4 linked regions of the Schizosaccharomyces pombe genome follow. The protein of the gene in region 1 binds, or shares a complex with, the protein of each later gene. Each region holds a gene or a part of one and is shown in the gene's direction. Other genes may lie near its edges. The genes, in order: mrpl10, mrpl37, mrpl40 and mrpl1.

What was found.
Region 2: mrpl10 (region 1) and mrpl37 share a complex: the UniProt entries of both Schizosaccharomyces pombe proteins name them as parts of the mitochondrial large ribosomal subunit.
Region 3: mrpl10 (region 1) and mrpl40 share a complex: the UniProt entries of both Schizosaccharomyces pombe proteins name them as parts of the mitochondrial large ribosomal subunit.
Region 4: mrpl10 (region 1) and mrpl1 share a complex: the UniProt entries of both Schizosaccharomyces pombe proteins name them as parts of the mitochondrial large ribosomal subunit.

Annotation. Positions count from the first base shown.
Region 1 is NC_003423.3:1,820,777-1,825,404, forward strand, and holds mrpl10 (mitochondrial 54S ribosomal protein uL15m), read left to right. Parts: upstream 1-2,126; 5' UTR 2,127-2,159; coding exon 2,160-2,924; 3' UTR 2,925-3,181; downstream 3,182-4,628. Other genes in the region: translation elongation factor EF-Tu Tuf1, read right to left, coding at 1-447, 499-633; U6 snRNP-associated protein Lsm3, read right to left, coding at 1,350-1,387, 1,489-1,603, 1,658-1,675, 1,746-1,838, 1,880-1,897; Nop52 family nucleolar protein, read left to right, coding at 3,786-3,828, 3,873-3,980, 4,037-4,325, 4,508-4,628. UniProt on the Schizosaccharomyces pombe protein: Component of the mitochondrial ribosome (mitoribosome), a dedicated translation machinery responsible for the synthesis of mitochondrial genome-encoded proteins, including at least some of the essential transmembrane subunits of the mitochondrial respiratory chain.
Region 2 is NC_003421.2:1,252,346-1,256,818, forward strand, and holds mrpl37 (mitochondrial 54S ribosomal protein mL54), read left to right. Parts: upstream 1-1,972; 5' UTR 1,973-2,199; coding exon 2,200-2,619; 3' UTR 2,620-2,881; downstream 2,882-4,473. Other genes in the region: cca2 (ATP/CTP tRNA nucleotidyltransferase), read left to right, coding at 2,935-4,245, 4,305-4,448. UniProt on the Schizosaccharomyces pombe protein: Component of the mitochondrial ribosome (mitoribosome), a dedicated translation machinery responsible for the synthesis of mitochondrial genome-encoded proteins, including at least some of the essential transmembrane subunits of the mitochondrial respiratory chain.
Region 3 is NC_003424.3:2,670,770-2,675,438, forward strand, and holds mrpl40 (mitochondrial 54S ribosomal protein uL24m), read left to right. Parts: upstream 1-3,023; 5' UTR 3,024-3,210; coding exon 3,211-4,050; 3' UTR 4,051-4,169; downstream 4,170-4,669. Other genes in the region: Brix domain-containing protein Rpf1, read right to left, coding at 1-680; SBDS family ribosome maturation protein Sdo1, read right to left, coding at 1,402-2,014, 2,209-2,336; ESCRT III complex subunit Did4, read right to left, coding at 4,330-4,629. UniProt on the Schizosaccharomyces pombe protein: Component of the mitochondrial ribosome (mitoribosome), a dedicated translation machinery responsible for the synthesis of mitochondrial genome-encoded proteins, including at least some of the essential transmembrane subunits of the mitochondrial respiratory chain.
Region 4 is NC_003424.3:1,790,499-1,795,467, reverse strand, and holds mrpl1 (mitochondrial 54S ribosomal protein uL1m), read left to right. Parts: upstream 1-3,016; 5' UTR 3,017-3,224; coding exon 3,225-3,986; 3' UTR 3,987-4,068; downstream 4,069-4,969. Other genes in the region: poly(A)-binding protein Crp79, read left to right, coding at 496-616, 702-879, 971-1,445, 1,517-2,875; protein saf5, read right to left, coding at 4,190-4,843. UniProt on the Schizosaccharomyces pombe protein: Component of the mitochondrial ribosome (mitoribosome), a dedicated translation machinery responsible for the synthesis of mitochondrial genome-encoded proteins, including at least some of the essential transmembrane subunits of the mitochondrial respiratory chain.

The DNA of each region.
Region 1 (4,628 bases):
CATTTCCATTTCGACAAGCTCGATCATATCAGGCTCGACCATATCGACTTTATTGATGTATACAACAATTTGCTTTACACCGACTTGACGAGCCAGAAGCAAATGTTCACGAGTTTGAGGCATTTGACCATCGGTAGCAGAAACAACAATGATAGCGCCATCCATTGTAGCAGCACCAGTAATCATATTCTTAATGTAATCGGCGTGACCAGGACAATCCACATGGGCATAGTGACGATTAGCAGTTTCGTATTCAACATGGGCAGATGAAATGGTAATACCACGTGCCTTTTCCTCGGGGGCCTTGTCAATTTGACTATAATCCATAAAACTAGCTTGACCAAGATCAGAAAGGCATTTAGTAATAGCAGCCGTCAACGTCGTTTTACCGTGGTCAACATGACCAATAGTACCAATATTGACATGCGGCTTTTTTCTAACGAACACCTTAAAAAAGTTAACAAGTAATCAAAAAGATGAAGAATGAAAAAAAAATACCTTTTCGTCAGCATAAGTTCGAGCTGGGACGGTGAACCGGTTAATCAAACCTGAAGCGAAAGAAATGCGGTTCAATCGCAAGCAATTTTTTCTAAAGCCTTGAAAGAGGAGAGAGGTAGCTTTAGCTGAATTCATAACGAAGGGAGCGTGTAGGCAGAGGAGAGGTCTCTGGCGCTCGTGTTGTCCTTGAAATAAGTCTCAGCGGTGCGCATCGTTATGAGAATACTATTGACACGAGCATTTCATGAAATAAATGGTCCTGGGTGTTTGGATACAATCAATATTTGTAGAATTTATTTTATTTTGTTCTATTTTACCGCTACGCCTATATATGATGATACGCTTGTTAATAATAAAAAAATACTAGATGAACTAGTGAACAACACCGCCAAATCGAAAGCAATTGATAGTTTTTTTTTATTTGCACAATGAATGGTATTATGTCTCTGATCTCTAAAGGAATGTCAATCTGATTTTGCTAGATCGCAAGAGCAACCACCATGCAAGCAAAAATCGCTTACTATCCTGTCAAGTACAAAGAATAAAACCATTAATGAAAAGTCTCAATGACAAAGCTCAGCGTCTCGTGAATGTTGGTTAACTTCGAAGAGTCTTTTGCTTTTATTAAGTAAAAGGATGTAAGGAATAACAAGAAGTGGTGCGTGACTAAAGAAAGATAAAACTATCCATCCAACGGAATAAAGGAAAATCAAACTTTTCTGTAATATAGAATACTCAAATCAAAAGTCGTTACTATTGTACGAAGAAGCACCTCTAAAGCGAAAAATTTTAAACAAAAGAATGAGATAAAAATATGTAGATAGCTTTGTATAGTAATTTTATTCGTTCCTTTAATTACGAGGTGGAGCAATCAAAATAACCGAATCACCTAAAGTTCATTAGCATTTGGCGAAAAAGGAAAAACAGTTTCGAAAAGGAAAGCTTAATCATGGTCAAACTTTTCGAGCGTAATATTTAGAATCTACGTACCACGAACAAAGAGCATCTCATAATGTTTGCGAATCGTTTTTAAGGCCTTGTCCTTATCGGTCTCTTCATCATCAAAAATAGTTACAATTTCTTCAGCATCTCCTAGTACCATATTCTAAAATACGTGTAAGTAATCCATCCAAATGCGAGTTATGAATATGATTCATACCAAATGTTCATCATAGGCCTACAATCGAGTTAGTATAACCAATTCAGAATAAGAAAAATATTCAAGAAACGTTAAAAAAATTTCATACATGAAGACGGCCATTTAATTCTCTATCTCCCCGTAATTTTACATAAACGATTTCATCCAAAGAAAGCCTCACCAAATCAAGAGGTTCCGCGACCTACAAACATTAGTTACCGAGTTACTGTTGATAAATCTTACTGCCTGTGCCGATTCCATTATAAAGTAAAGGGTTATTATATCTACCAAGCAAGATCGCTGTTGCTGCAATTATGCACTGGCATATGTCAGGAAGAAATAAAGGAGGAAACAAATTCGAATTGCGCAGTGCAGCGATGCTGAATATAGTAATAAAGATATTTTTATGAGACGCTATAGAATTTTACGTATTCGTGTGTGTCCGAATCTTTTGTAATAGTAAACAGCAGCCTTGGACTTATTACCATCTAAACTCGACGAAACCCGTTTTTTGAATTGGAAAATGTTTAATATTTTATCTCGGGTTTGTCGCAGTTCTTCATTTCATGGTTTTTTGAGATCCTCTGGTTATCCAAGATTTGGTGCTAGTTTCCGCGGCATCAGTATGTTGAATGATTTAAACAACAGTGCAAATTATCAGTCAAAGAAGCGAGTGGGTAGAGGCCCTGCGAGCGGTTTAGGAAAAACCTCTGGACGTGGTCATAAAGGATCTGGTCAAAGGCGTGGACGGAGAATTAAACCTGGTTTTGAAGGTGGTCAAACTCCTATCACCAAATTATTTCCTAAAGTTGGTCACAGTACGGGACATTTGAAGAAACCGTTGCGTCTGGGGTTAGGGAGAGTTCAGGAATGGATTGATCGTGGTAGATTGGATGCTAGCAAGACAATTACTATGAAAGACCTCCTCGATAGTAGATGCTGTAGAGGTATTAAACATGGAGTTGAACTTACTGCTGACGAACCTGGACTCCTTAAAACAGCAATTTCCATAGAAGTTTCTAAGGCTACAGTTCAAGCTATACAACAAATCAAAAATGCAGGCGGCAGTATAACAACAGTATATTTCAGCCCGTTGGCGCTACGTGCCCATTTGCATCCTTCAAGTTTTCGTACACCTCCTCGCCCTCCCCTTCCAGTTTCAAAGAAAGACATACGCTACTACACAAATCCACATTTTGCAGGGTATCTTGCCAACGTTAAAAATATTCGAGAGCTATATTATGGCGACCAACGATTCCCCTACGAACCGATTGTTAAAGATAAATAAGTAGTTCCCATATTACATCAGAACTTGATATATGTTCATCAAAAATCCCGCTTTCCTAATATGTCCTTAAAACTTTGTTATGTCTATTGATGATTCCGTGCAGCCTCCTTTACTTTCTTGGATGGGTTACATGTTGAGTTTTGTAAGGAAATATCTGCATCCTTTTCTTAGTACATTTGTATAATTACGTTTCCAATTTCGGTGTTTGAGCTCTCTACTGACTTTTTCGCTTACAGTTCAATACCCATTAGTAATATTTTGAATACCTTTCTCATTCGAAAATATAGCTTCCTTCTTTATCCCCCAAATCCCCTTGTTGTAGTCAGTTCATTCTCTGTCAGATAAACCCTTTCTCACATTTATTCATTTGCTTCATTAGTAGATTTGAGCATTCGCAGTCATGCACTTTTTTTGTATAATCAAGAACCCCTGCCGACTGTTTGTTAAATTATTATCTTTTGCCTTTTTTTGTTTAAAGCTTTCTTAAAATTTTTTCATCCTCCGATTGTCTATCCAACAGGAAAAGATCTTTCAAAGGATCTCCTTTTCAAAGGCATGCAAGGAAGAAGAAAAAGAACATTTGTTGATCAATGGAACGGTTAAAGACTTATATATAAGAATGACTAAGAAAACCGGCATTTGTAATAGAAGTGTAAGCGAACCATAGTAGTACATTAACCTTATGATCAATTAATCTACATAAACGGTCAATTCTAAAAAAAATAATACATATTGACTGGGAAACTCCTTATTTCATATATTAGAAAGGGACATTTATCAACTCTCCAATTAGTGCACTAAAACGCAGTATGGAAGGAACGATGCTAAGAACTGCTTCAACACTTTGTCAATAAACCAACAATGTCGGCTCCGTCGCCGTTTATTAAGAAACTTGCAGCTAATGGTAAATTTCTTACATATAAATGATTAATGTACTAACACTGTAAGATCGAAAAACTCGTGATAAGGCTCTTGAATCGTTGCAGCGGTTTTTAAGCCAAAAGAAAAAATTTGAAAGGTTAGACTTTCTCAAGCTTTGGAAGGGCTTATTTTACTGTATGAATTTTTTTGGGTTATGAATGTAAATCATCTAATTGTTTTTTAATATGCAGGCATGTGGATGGCTGATAAACCCTTATACCAACAGAAACTCTCAGATAATTTAGCCGCGTTGGTTCCAATTGTCTGGATAGACAATAGAATATTATTTCAATCTACTTTTTGGGAAACTATGGGTCGTGAATGGACGGGAATTGATATTTTACGAACAGACAAATTTTACTTGTTAATGCGTAGATTTTGTGCTGCTGCGTTTCGGGATATTCAAACAAGAAGTAAAACTGCTTTGCTGGACAAAGTAGTGGCTGAATATAATCAGATGTGGATGGATGGTCCTTTTAAGTAAGTTGTTTTCGTTCCCGCGTGTGGGAATTTGTTTATTATATAGATTGCTTTTGCGTTGGAGACTTTTAGAAAAGTTTTGCAACGCTTTTACTTCCTGCTTACATCAAACTTGTTGAATAGCTATTTCTTAATTTTTATCATTTTTCTGTTTATTTGGACAGACTACTAACTGCTTTTAGTACCGAAAATCTTGCTTTTCCAAATGGGATTTTATTCCATTTAGCTGATATATGGACTGAGGAATTAAGAAAAGTCTACCCAGAAGATGTACCAAAAGCGGACTGGTATCTTCCTTTTGAT
Region 2 (4,473 bases), on another chromosome or scaffold:
CGAATCCTAGCTCTGAACAAGTTCTTGTTCTTTGTGATAATTCCAACGTGTATTTAAAGCAGTATATAAAGGTCAAACACCATCAAATGAACAGTTTATCAAATCTCATGGAACCATTTATTAAACATTATACTTTTTGCTTAAATAAATATTCAAAGTGTTTTTTTTTTTTTTTTTTTTTTTTTTTTAATGCATATGGTAGGAATAGGCATTATTTATTAAATGGATTCGCAAATGGTTAATATTGTGCTAGGAGATATGTTGATTTCAATTGCAATATCTTTTACCTATATTTAAATGGCACTATGTAGAAAGCTGACAAGAGAATATTTTAACAAGCAATCCCGAATCATCAAAAATAAATTAAAATAATTTTAAAAAATAAAAAAAATAAATCGCAGAAGCACAAAGCATAATACTATTGATAAGTTCAATGTAATTTAATTTGGTTCATTACTATTTAAAACTAAATCCCCATCTTATAGTAATATAGAAATAAACAGAAAGTATATACAATTTCTCTACAGGATGAAAGAAAAAAAAACCCCCAGAAAATAAATGAGGGAAAAAAATAGGATATCAAATATTGATCGAGGAAATCACAAGCATTTCCTTCAGTGTAAGAAAAGCAAAATAGGGAAAATCGTAATTGTACATTGAAAGCATACATTTTTACAAAATTGTAAAATTTCTTTATTTAAATCGTTTCCAAAATGAACCGGAAATGTTATAAGCAAAAATATACTAAATAAATGAATTTAAAACTATTTCGGTACACTAAATAATCTCTTATAAATTTATTAAATTTAAATACATAATCTACTTAATACTAATCGTCTCAACGGAGGACAACGTGGCCGAGTGGTTTTAAGGCGTTCGCCTGCTATTCTGTAGCCCAGCGGATTCCCTTTGGGAGCGCAGGTTCGAATCCTGCCGTTGTCGGCATGATTTTTTTTATTTGTAAAATGAATATCGAAGAGCCTTAGAGAAATATGTTATAGGAATTTATCGAGGCAAATAATGAAATTCTAGTAAGAGAATAACCTGATGGTTAAAGCTTGTTTATTGATCTTCTTGCAGATTTTTTATTGTTTTCATGAGATGGATAATACTTTAAATGATTTATGTTCTATCTAAAGTAAAACTTGGCGAAATTTTAAGAAAACACCCATAAAGGTGTAACTATTAACTAAGAAGAGTTCGCAAGTCAGTGATTTATTTTTTTCAATTGTCCCGAGTGACTTAAGACACCGACTAGTACAATTTGTCAAATTTATTGTAAATCTATTTTTCTTTAACAAAAAGTGATTGCAAGCGCTTCTCGATCCTCAATGGATCAGTCGCTAACTGTGTGGAATAAGTACATTTCGCAAGTAAAAAAAATGGTAATTCTGACGTATCGAATGAAGGACATAACGTTAAACATAATTGAATACTAATTCTAAAATCTATATATGTTCTCTTTATTTAAACCGTACTACTAGATTGTTCCTCAATATCCCAAATAACACCTAATGGTTCTTTACCATTTACAACAATCAAGTGATTGTCGAAGAAACATTGCAAGTTGAGAAAAATGAATGAAGTAGAAATATTCTAATGTGCTAATGATTTATTGTAAAAATAAATCATATTATTTTATTTCTTTGACTTTCTTACATAGTCGAACACAGACAAATACAATTTTCGATTAACATTTCTAGAGTCTCACTTGATAGATTGTGCTTTACTTTATTTCATAAGTATTCCTATAGTACTCAAGCGTGCTTGGTATTATTATTGTAAACTTAATGACATTCTTGTTAGAACGACACCCCATTTGAACTTAGCAATAGTTTATAATTATGAAAAAAACAAAAACAAAAATTTTATTTTGATTCCCAAATTGTAAACAGACGCTTGAAACCCTTACATGTACCTGTGTCTGCTACCCATCTGTACATGAGTTGTATAGTAACGTCCAGGTTGTCCCATAACCAAACTCCTTGAACTTTGAAAGCGGCTCTTTATAGAGTCATTTTTTATTTCCTATAGTACTTGAAATAATATTATTCTCTAAAACTTTTCACTCAAAGAGCAGGACGTATTTGCTCCTTATATATGCGAAGGCGTTACTATTGACCTTTTTCATCGCCTTTGATCCACTTTTGGTTAAAGATTTTATCCTCCTTGCAAAGTTTTTTGTTTACTGTCTAAGCAATGCCATTTATCGAGTCAATGGCCCCTTTATCGCGCGCAATTACTCGCGGTATCTCTCAATTCTCATGCTACTCTAACACATTGGTTTTAAGAAGTTCCCGTAACTCTTCTTCATCATTAGTTAAACGAAGTTATGTATCCTCTCGTGTTTCACCCAAAAAGCCACAGCATAATTCGGATGCCACTTCTTCAGCTCAAAAAGTCGCTAATAAAACGCACACTAGTTCTGTCCTTCCAGGTACTATATTAAAGGGACTGTGTATAAAGGCGGGTGGCGTCGACCCTGTAGCTCGTGAAGATCATGAATATCCAGAATGGTTATGGTCTCTTCTGGATGAGCCAGCTCCCAATTCTAAGACTGCCCGAAGTCATGCTCGTAAAAGTGCCATTCGAGCGGCTAACTTTCTTACTAAAAAATAATTACCTTTTAGAATGTTTGAAACTCTTAATTTTCCATCTCCTCTCTATCCTTATGAGCATTTGATCCATTCTTTTTGTTTACTTTTTTTGAGGCATATGACATTCGCTACTTTACCATTTCCCAGAATCCAAAAATCATTTTAAAATAAAAATATATTAAATAACCTTATATCAGTGATATACATTTGTAGCATAAAAAAAATTACTACTACATGTCCTTCTTTAAGAGAAGCATATTCAAACCTCAACCTGCCAACCTTAGAGAAACCGGTATTGCCCAAACTGTGTATCGTTTATGGAATTTGGCTGACGAAAATGTATTCTAGAATTGTATTGAACGATGTTGAGAAAAAAGTTGTTAATCTTTTGAAAAAGACTGCTGATTTTATTGAATCTAAATCCAGCAGCAGTTCGTCATTGGAAGTTAGATTGGCAGGAGGATGGGTTCGCGATAAACTTCTTGGGCTTTCTAGTGACGATTTAGACGTTACGTTGAATAAAGTTACCGGTGTTGACTTTGCAAATTCAATATTTGAGTATGTTCACTCTCTCGACTCTGACTCAGTTATTCCATATAAAGACGCACTTGGCAAGCTAACTGTCAATCCCGATCAAAGCAAGCATTTAGAAACTGCTACCTTATCCCTATTTGACCTTGATATTGATTTTGTAGGACTTCGTGCAGAATCATATGATGATAAAAGTCGAATTCCTAGCGTTACCCCAGGAACTGTTGAAACAGATGCATTGAGAAGAGACTTCACGGTTAACACCCTATTCTTTAACATACGAACAGAAAAAATAGAGGACATTACAAAGCGAGGATATAAAGATTTGCAAACCAAAGTGTTGGTCACGCCCATTTCACCTCTCCAATCATTTTTGGAAGATCCCTTACGAATTTTGAGAGGCATTCGGTTTGCATCCAGATTTGAATTTACAATTGATCCGTCGGTCGTTTCCGCTATCCAAGATCCGAAAGTATGTAAAGCTTTTGAAAAAAAGGTTAGCAAGGAACGTGTAGGAGAGGAAATTGAGAAAATGTTGAAGGGTGCAAACGCGAAGCTAGCACTTCAACTGTTATATTCAACGAACACGTATCAGTTTACGTTCGATACTTTGCCAGCTGAAAAAGAATTTCAAATTCCAAAGGCATTGGAAGCTACCGAGTCTTTATTTCAGAGTCTTGCATTGACGTTTCCTAAACTTATGAAATTAAGTGAAGATGAGAAAATTGGGCTATGGCTATATGTTGCTCTAATTCCATGGTCTAGTCAAACTGTTATGGTTAAGAAAAAACAATTTTATATTCCTGCAATCATCGCAAAAGACAAGTTGAAGCTCAGAAGTACATATGTTAACCAGTTGAATCAGTGCTGCACATTCAATCCGATATTCGATGAATTAGTTAACGATACTTCCACTAAAAATTGCTCATCTATTGGCAGCTTAATACGACAATTGAATAAATCCTGGGAAGTCGTGTTTTTAACATCGGTCATATATAGTTGTTGTAAAACACCGGCAGCATCTGTATCAAATACATTTAGTTCTTATAAATCTCTATATGACTTTATTTATGACAAAAATTTACAAAATGCTTATAACATGAAGCCATTATTAGACGTATGTAATTCTTTTATTTCTGTTAACAATATTGAGCGAATAAGCTAACAATTTTTTAGGGAAAACAGATCATGAAAAATGTGGGAGTTAAGCCTGGCCCGCAGCTGAAAGAGACTATGGATAACATGATTTCCTGGCAATTTAAACACCCTGAAGGAAGTGTCGAAGATTGTGTTGCATACCTTCAATCCCTAAAAATATAAGAAAAGACAATCACTGTTTAGATAA
Region 3 (4,669 bases), on another chromosome or scaffold:
CCTTGAATTTGAGGCGTTTGAATAAATAATGATTGAAAGGCTCGAGCAACAGTCATACCAAGTCTCGTTGAGAAATTGTTGATTATCAGTTCTGGAATATGACCAGTGGAGCGGCCATGATTTGAAATTTCCTTTGCTGTTTGGAGATTCGATAAGGTAAAATAGAACGAAGGGCCATTCGGTAAGTGTACAAGGGTTAATGCATTTGTTTTTTTACGATCCTCATTTAATACCAGTAAATCGGTGTAACCACGCTTAGCAGCGGCTTCTGCGATTTCATGAACTTCAATATCTCCGGTTCTTTTTCGAAATTCAGCATTAGGAAAACAATCTAAAAGCTCAGATGCAAAATCATAGCATTTTCTAGAGGCTCGTTTACTCGTGGTTACCAAAAGTTTCGGAACTTTCCTTTCTTCACTAAAGTATGCAGAAAACTCATCATCTTTTAACTCCGCCTGAAGTTCCTCATCGGGTTTATCCTCTATGATAGTTTCATCATAAACTCGTTTCGATTCAATAGTAGCGGGAATATTTTCTGAAAGTCGCAATCTCTTCTTTTCCGGGTCTTTTTCTTCTTCTTTAGCACGTTCTTTTCTTCTTTCAAGCTTGTCCTTATTTTTTTGATGAAGAGCCTTCATATACTGCTGTTGGCGGACAATTTTGTTTTTAATCTTCCCCATTTTAATAAGTTGCGTATAATCTCTCAAAATTTAAAATTTAAGAATGAAATAATTTAAATCCTTACAAAAAATTGCAACTAAAAAAAATTGAGATAAGAATGAGCAACTTAAGTACAAATAAAAGAGAGTTAAAAAAAAGTATACGATGGGTTTGAAGTCTCAAAAACTTATTGCACAATCCAATTCCATGTCGCAAAATACCGAATCTGAAGAACATGCTACGAATTTCGTCAAATTTGCTTAAAAGTATTAACGCAGTATTATATCACACTGCTGTTAAGCAAAATGTATACTTTAGTTACAATTACTGTTTGTAAATAGGTGATATTACAATCCGAAATCGTACACTATAGATATCCTCATCATTAAATTGTTGAACAACTGAAAGCATTGTGGTAAGGGTTCAACATTCTACAAATCACTCACGCTACTTTCATTTTCACATTTGAATGCGTGCTTTGAATGGAACTAGCAGAAATGAAAGGGACGATAGTCTTTTAATTTCATTTCTTTACTTTCTTTTTACTTTCTTCTGAACTGAATTGCTATATTGATAAATTAAATAATGTTCTGGATAACCAGAACGAATCAGAACGTGTCTTTTAATAGCAAAATTTTTCAAAACCAAAAGCCAATGAACAATGTAAGCAAAAAGGAGGAGGAAAACAGATTAGGGAATTCATATAGAGCGTATTTTCAGAAAGGTTATTTGTATACCTTTTTAAGTCCTAGCCTCGCTCATGTCGAGTACTTGAACCATACCTCGGTTTTTGGTCTCATTTCGGACAAGTTCATCTATCAACTTATAATTCCCTGGAATCACGAGAGCTATGCACTCATATTCATCATCAATGTTTTCTTCTTCAATTTCATCAGCTAAAGAGCGTAAACGCTCTCGTAAAGCTTTTCCCTGTTTGACATCCACCACTATTCTGATGCGCATACGCGCACGGACGATAGGAATTTCGTTTTTTTCTTGCAATTTCTTAATAGCTTCCAGAGCTTGGGACTTTGCAGTTTTACTGGTAGAGACAGAAAAGCCACAATCAGATAATGCTTTTTCAATTATAGATGCTGGATAAGGTCGTTTAGAATTAGGATCCATGCACATCGCAGTAACATGGGAGACAATATCGCGATAAGTTGAAGACATTTGATGATGTCTTTCCTTTTCACCTACTTGAAAATCTCCTTTTTGCAAAATTTCTAAAATAATTTTATCTATATCATCTGTACCAAAAGCCTTTTTCAAATCCTGTCGGCTAGCTACATGTCCTTTAGAAACATTGTTAAACACATTGTGGATTTGTAAAACTTCATCCAGATCTGTTTCACTAAACTTGGTTAGCTATGGTTTTGATCAAAAAAAATTGTACGAGTTATTGAGTTGTTGACACCAGTCGACAAGACACGTGAATTCAAAAAGATAGCTTGTTATAATTTTCTGCTGATCTTAAAGAATATTTATCTGTAGCAAAGGCTGACTCTCACTAATTACAGTAGCTTAATTTAATGAAATCATGCATACATTTTGTTTCTCCATTCTGTAACTTTATTTTTATAACAAGCAACTTCAAATCTTTTCCCTCCTTTCTTATATTTTACAACGGACACATTGGTTAGACGAATTTGTCCAACAGGTTGACTAATAACCATTTTGCTCAAGATGGGTACTTTTTTGGATTATTTTTTGTTATTCTCACCTTCTCTAATTATAGTGTTTTAATCCAACGCCTAAATCTGTTAAACAGGTTAACAATCCATACACTATATATCGGTATTTAGATTTATCTGAAAATTAAACAAAAATTTGATATTTGCGAGCCTGAAAGGCAAAAGGATGGTTCCAATCATTTTTCGGATGTTAACATAATCTTGGAAAACCTTATGGTTAAATATTTAATATAAGTGCAAGTTATTTGTCGGGTTTTCTAAACCAGTTTACAAATCACGAATGATATTAGGCTTTTAAAAATTATTACCTAAATTCAGCAAATACTAAAAAAAAAGTAGAAAACAATAGAAGTATCGACTAAGTTTGAGTTATCCGACAAAACTTCAATCTTACATCCTAGTATATTAACACAACCACTTGCGAAGCGTTTCTATACGATTTCGCTTAACATTTTCAATTTTAAACTTATAAACAAATAGATAGAATGACATTGTCTTAACGAGTACACATCATTTTAATGTTGGTTAACGATGTCGAAGCTGTAGAATATTGCGTGCAAAAGCAAAAGCAAATTTTAAATAATGAAACTTAACCACGTATCGCAAAGTTGCCTTTGTGTAACAATGATCCATTTCTTTACTTATTGACGAAGAGAGTACTCAAATAACAACTGCAAACTACCAGCAGGATACACATTACTGTTTCATAGCATTCTTATTTTTTCTCTTATATTTGGCCATATTTATCCTGTCTAGAGGTTTTACTTTCGTTCCAACATTACAGCGTAGTAAATTCCTCTGTACAAGTGATGTACCACCGTTAGTTATTTAAATATTATAAAACTTTTTGAGCAGAATGAGAGACTTGCGTAAATTAATTCCAAGGCTCCGAGGCCCTGGTACTAACGTCTTAAAAATGAAAAAGCCTTTACCGTTGCATATGCGAACCAAAATACGCGAACACCTCAATAAATCTGATCCAACTGTTAAAGACGATAAATCCGCTAAACCCGAGTTACCGTTTGGAAAGCCAGCTGACAGAGTCCCTTTCTGGCATATTTTTAAAGGGGATTATGTATATGTTCATCAAGGACCTCTGAAAGGAAAATGGGGCCGTGTTGTTGAGACAAACAAATACACAAACGGTATTACCATAGAGGGGGTTAATGTGAGATCCGTCAAAGTACCAATTTTTCTTTTGCGAAATAAGCCTGAAGATAACCAAGATCCAGTAATTGATATTGCTCACGAAGTACATTATGCAAATGTGCGTCTTCTTGCGCATGCAAAGACTGACGCCGGGGAACCAGTTCTTATTCCAGTTAAGCTTAAAAAGCATTCCTCAACTAATCTCCGGTCCATTATTCGGCCTAATATTGAAGGAGTACAAATTCATACTATTCATCTTCCTCGTCCCAAGACTGAAGATAAGCCTAAAGATCCCGAAGGTAAACTCGATACTAAGAATCCAGTAGTTAGTAAAGTTACTTGGTCTCCTAGCTTATCGGAGCCTCCTCTTCCTCCGTTTGCAATTGGCGATTTACGAGCCAATTGGTCTCGCCGTTTAGATCGTATATGGGGATATAAAAAGAACAATGATGATTTTACTGAAATTGCTAAAGATCTTGTCCGAGCAGAGACTGCTGCTGAAGATTTAATAAAAAAACCCATCTCTCCTAATACTTACAGTGATTAAAACAAAAACGATGTTTGGTCGTTGCAAGCATTTTTTTATAACATTACATAATGATTCACAATCTCTAGGTTATAAAGCTTAATAAACTTTTGTAAACTCTTCTAAAAAATTTTTCAAGAAACTTAAATATATTTAACTTAGTAGAGTAAGTGATAAGTGATTTCAATGAAAGTGAAGTATTTGAAGTTTACACGTTAACCTAGAAAAACTTTTACTAATCAATGTAGAAAATCTATACAAATCAAGATCTTTAAAGTCCATTAATCTCTTGTGCGAAAATTAACGCTTTGCCAGTTCATCCAATCTGGCTTGTAAATTGTCTTCAGTCTTTAACTCCGGTACCGTACCAATTTGGGTCGCAGCATCTGGCAATCCTTGAGACAAATCGACTCCAATTTCATCCAACACTTTATTGACAAGTTCATCAGCTTCCTCTTCGTCATCTTCTTCTAAAGCATCGTCCATATTTTCATCAATCATTTCTTGTCTCTGTTCCATAATTTCATTTTCACGCTCGAATTGCTGAGTGATACGAGCCATTGCCGGTATATTCATGCTTTTGTTCATCCCTGTCAATAACTTTGTAAAAGTTAGTTCTATATTTTTCGATATTAAGGTG
Region 4 (4,969 bases), on another chromosome or scaffold:
CAGTTGGTTTGCCAAAAACAACAATAATTGAAAATTTATGAATGGATTCACCAGAATATTAGCCTAATTGCTTTTTGATTCATTTAAGGAAATTCAACTTTTAATTTGAAATCAGCGAAAGCCGAAAAAAGGATGGTATGAATTTGAAATATTTTTTAATGCGAGCAGGTAATATTGACTTTAATAATAAAATAAAATAAAATGTCATTATAAATGCGATTTGAGGATTTAGTAGAGATATGGATAAAACAGATATGAACCAAACTGCATGAATATTAGGAAATCAAGTTGTAAATATAAAACAAGCATTTTTAAAAAAAAACAAAAAATATTACTCTAAAAATGTTAAGAGGTCAATTTAAGGTTTGTTTACTCTCATTTGTTATGGTGGTAATAGTTTCAGTCATGCATCATCGAAATGTAAACAAACAGCGATCCTATATATACCAAAAACAACAACCATTCCTTTCCATCACACATCTTTTTTGAGATAAAATGAACAATTCAAAACTCTCTGTCCCCGGACAGTATGAAGATGAAAGCAGTACTATATATGTAGGAAATATAGATTCCCGACTTTCTGATGAAGAAATCATCAAACACTTTTCAAAATATGGTATGAACACACAAGTCAAGGATAAAAACACGAGGAAAAACATTAGAAAACATAAATAAAAGCGATATATTAATCAATTCTTTAGGACAAGTAGAATCCATCTTTCGTCGATTACTTGATAGTTTTTATCCTAAGGAAAAAGCGAAACCTTTTAAACCTCCTAAAAATGGAGTGCAATATGGGTTCGTCAAATTCGTTAATGCTGAAAGCATTGAAGAAGTTCTAAAGGACGCTAAAGGAATGACTCTGGGCCAAAGAAAATTGTAAGTGACTGAAGGGAAAAATTAGAGACAAGCATTACAGAAAAAAAAATCGAAAAATCATTCTCCAAAAAATTACTAACCTAAAAAAAAGGACCATTAAAGCAAGAGTCGTAAATCCTGCGAAACTGACAGACAAAAAATTCAAACCTAACGATACGTCAATCACTGCGAACGTGTTCAATCCTAGCATCCAAAACAATACAGATGAGGAAAACGTTAAGCCAGGACTCAAACAGTCTCAGATTAAGGAATTTATTCCAAATGTCGAAGAAAGAAATTGGGAAACTGTGAGAGGCATAAATTCGCGTAACCCGAAGCCAGAAACAACGCTTACCATACCGTCTCTTGGTTTGGAAGATATTAGCATGCAAGTTGTACCAAATGCCTTCGCTTCTACGTTACCCCTTAGTATCTTGAACCTACCTGCCGAAGTCACACCGATTGACTTATATAACCACTTTAAACAGGCTGGTGTAGTAAAAGGGACGGCGGTCAGCCAGTTTCTTGACCAAAGAGGGTTCCGGTATGGCGAAGTGATTATGGATTCAGTTGAATCATGTCAAAATGTAAGCTCAATATGAAGAGAAAACCCCAATATTTGCATAATCTATTTCATGATACTAACCTCATTATTAAGGCAATAGAAAAATTAAATAACGTTCCATACAAAGGAAGCATTTTAGAGGTCAGTATAAAAAATAAAGCCTCTTCTTCAGTGAAGTCAATTCCCACAACGCCGACTGGTGAAAGCTTATGGCCTTTCCCATCGGAAAACGCTAACAAAACTCAAATAAATATCGAAAATGCTACATGTTCGAAGATGACATGGATTATGGGCTCACCAACTAAGGAGAAAAGCCAATGGGGTAGCGTTTCAACTACCGGTGTTTCAAATCAGCAAAATCATCCAGCCGCTTGGAACCCAGATAATAAACCTCAGTCAATCGTGCATTGGGACTCTTTACGTGAAAGCTCTCCAAGTATCCCTAATTCTCCTATTGACCCTTCAAATCTATACGTTAAAAATTTAGATGATACCGTCATCACATGCAAGAGTCAGCTGGAAGATTTATTCTCACCCTTCGGGTCGATTTTGTCTTCCATGTTAGCATGCTATCCAAATTCAGGAATCTCCAAAGGTTATGGTTTCGTAGCGTTTCGTCAAATAGAGGCTGCCGTTAGAGCCAAAGACACATTGAATGGAATGATGGTTGGGAAAAAAAGGATTTTCGTTTGCTTCGCGGAGCGAAAGTCTGACAGAATTCGTAGATTGCAAGCATTTTTTGCAAACAAACCTACTTCAGAACAAACAGCGCAGCAAGACAACAAAGCTTTGTTCGTCAAACCAGAAAGAAGCTCTACTGTTACCATCCGAAAGCCAATAGAGTCTTCTACAAACAAAATCTCTGAGAATCCCACGACCCTTTCAAGTAAGGTTGAAAATAAGAATGAGCCTAAGACTGGTGAAAACAAAGAACCCAGTCAGACAAATGAATATGTTAACTGTAAGCAAGAAAATAAGGAACTTAGTGGACAGTTATCAGGCAACTTGGATATAAAGAAAGAAGCAGGAAAATTGAGCCATGACGGAGAACAAGGAAACTTGTTAAAACCATTGGTATTCCATGCTAACACAAAACTAAATAACCGAGGGTCTGCTAAGATGGGTTCAACAGCCACCAACTTGAAGAAGATACAAGACATGCTTCACAACAAAAAGCTGAGTAATGCATACTTTGTGCCAAGAGCAAGAGCAACAACCTGTACAACTCTTACGTACGTAACAGTTGAGCCCTCACATTTCCAAGATGAGGACTGTAATGAGTCAACGAACATGCTTTCACTTGTCGGGTACATGGACAGCTATCCAGAAGCTACATCCAATATCCAAAAAATGAATTCCTATCATATTAAAGATTCAAATAAGGAAAATTTTTTATCAACAACAAAGGTTAACAACAATTCACCAACAACTATTCAGTTGACGCAGATTTAACAAGATGCGGTGAAGATATAACTATGAAACAAAATTCATAATGCTATATCCCTCAAAACTCCGATGAACAAACTTTTAACTCCTTAAAATATATACATCGTGAACGGATGGATTTGCTAGTATAACCCTACAGTATCTTACAACTACCACAACGTGGAATTTAAACGAAACCGTTTATTTTTAGTCTTTAATCAAAAACATTATAAGGAAATTTGATTTGAAAGATAATTCTTTATTAATTCGAAAGTTGACAGCTGGATCAGATTTGTTTAGAGATTTATGATTTTAGCAGGTTCATTGACTGACATCCAGTAGCTTGGTGACAGTTTGACGAACCAGATTAAAAACCATGAGTTCATTAATAGCGTTAGGTAAACGGCAAACATTATTGTCACATAATGAATTTTTAAATTTTAAAAATCAAAAGGGTTTCTGCAAAAGGTTTATTTCTCAACTAAACAAGAAATCCAATTTTCCCGCTCTTGCGATGACAGTTCCTGAAGCCACAAAATATCTCAAATCTGTGAGCATTTCTGTTCCATATGTTGGGTCTTATATGCTTTCAATTGCTTTAAAAAGTAATCGACGCGCTCCGTCAGCTCGTGGTCAAATTGCCTTTCCTCATCCATTTCAAGAGCCTCCTAAAATTTGTGTGTTTGCTAAAGGTGCAGCTGCAGATGAAGCTTTAAAATTGGGTGCAACCTATGTTGGTGCAGAAGACTTAGTAAAAAAAATTCAAACAGAGCCCCTTGAATTTTCAAAGTGCTTTGCTCATCCCAACTCGGCAGAATTACTACCACAAGTTGCTAAATTATTAGGATCAAAACGTCTTATGCCTTCAATAAAACGAGGTACTATATCAGATGAATTGAAGCCACTCATTGAATCTGCCCTCACAGCTGTTGACTATCGGCAAAATGATGCAGGCTCGATAAATTTGCCGGTTGGAAAACTAGGGTTCAGCGACAAGGAGCTACAAGAAAACATCGAAGCACTTGTATCAAATGTTCGGTTTACTTTGGCCAAACTGCCTGGAAAAGTTAAAGTTACCGTAAAGCATGTTCATCTTTCCGCCTCACATGCTATTGCAATTCCTCTCCAGTATAAATAATGATTAAAATGTTATTGCATGGGAAATTTAGTCTACAGTCTTGTCATTTGTAATATGTATTACATGATTAATTTTGTACAAATTAGTGAAATGTGTAATGATATTTTATCTAGTAAATTTAGAAGCCTGTTTATATTTATTTATTATCATAAACTACTTTTTAAAAAGTATGAATGAAACGTTAGAATACAACATTATGAAAGTTACTCTGTGCGATGCCATTTCAGAACAGGCGATTCCGGAGAATCAAATCTGTTATCACAAGCTGAGGTATCTACGTTTTCAGCCGTAACCCACTGGTGATTTGGATCAAAAAATAAGGACATAGGGTTTCCCATACTCGCGTTTTCAACATCATTATCTGAGGAAAAAGTGTCCGGATGTAGAGATTGGCAAGTACAAAGAGCCTGGTAACATGAATCAACATCAGTAACATATAATGTTAGTTCTAAAAAATCATCTGTGAATTCATTTTCATCTTCGGTAGAAGGAGCTTCATGCAATGTTCCTGACGACCGTTCAAATTTAAGAATGTGATCTAGCAAGGGTCGAATGGCTTCACCCTCTAATTGAACATATACATATGGCTTATCCTTGCTTTGTTTCGCATGAAGAGTAATGGTTTCATATGGAATTTTCCAGCCAGAATTCTGTTCTTCATCAAAAAGGATAAAGCTCTGTGAAGTTACTAATAAAGTTATCAATTTGCCCAAAGGAAAACTTTCCTCATCACTTCTAATTTTATAGGGGACTGTTTTTTCTTCAAAATAAACGATTTCTTGATTTGGCAACAACTTTTCACCATTTTCAACTTTGCGAATTAGGTCCTTTGGAAGTGAGTCAATTTTGGTAATCATAATTACTTCTTGCTTCCAATAGGTATTTAAGCATAAAAATTATTAAAAAACAGTAATAAGGCCACCTCTACCTGATAATTTATTGAAAGAAAAGGTTTACTGTGCGTTGTATTCTTTTGAAGTACT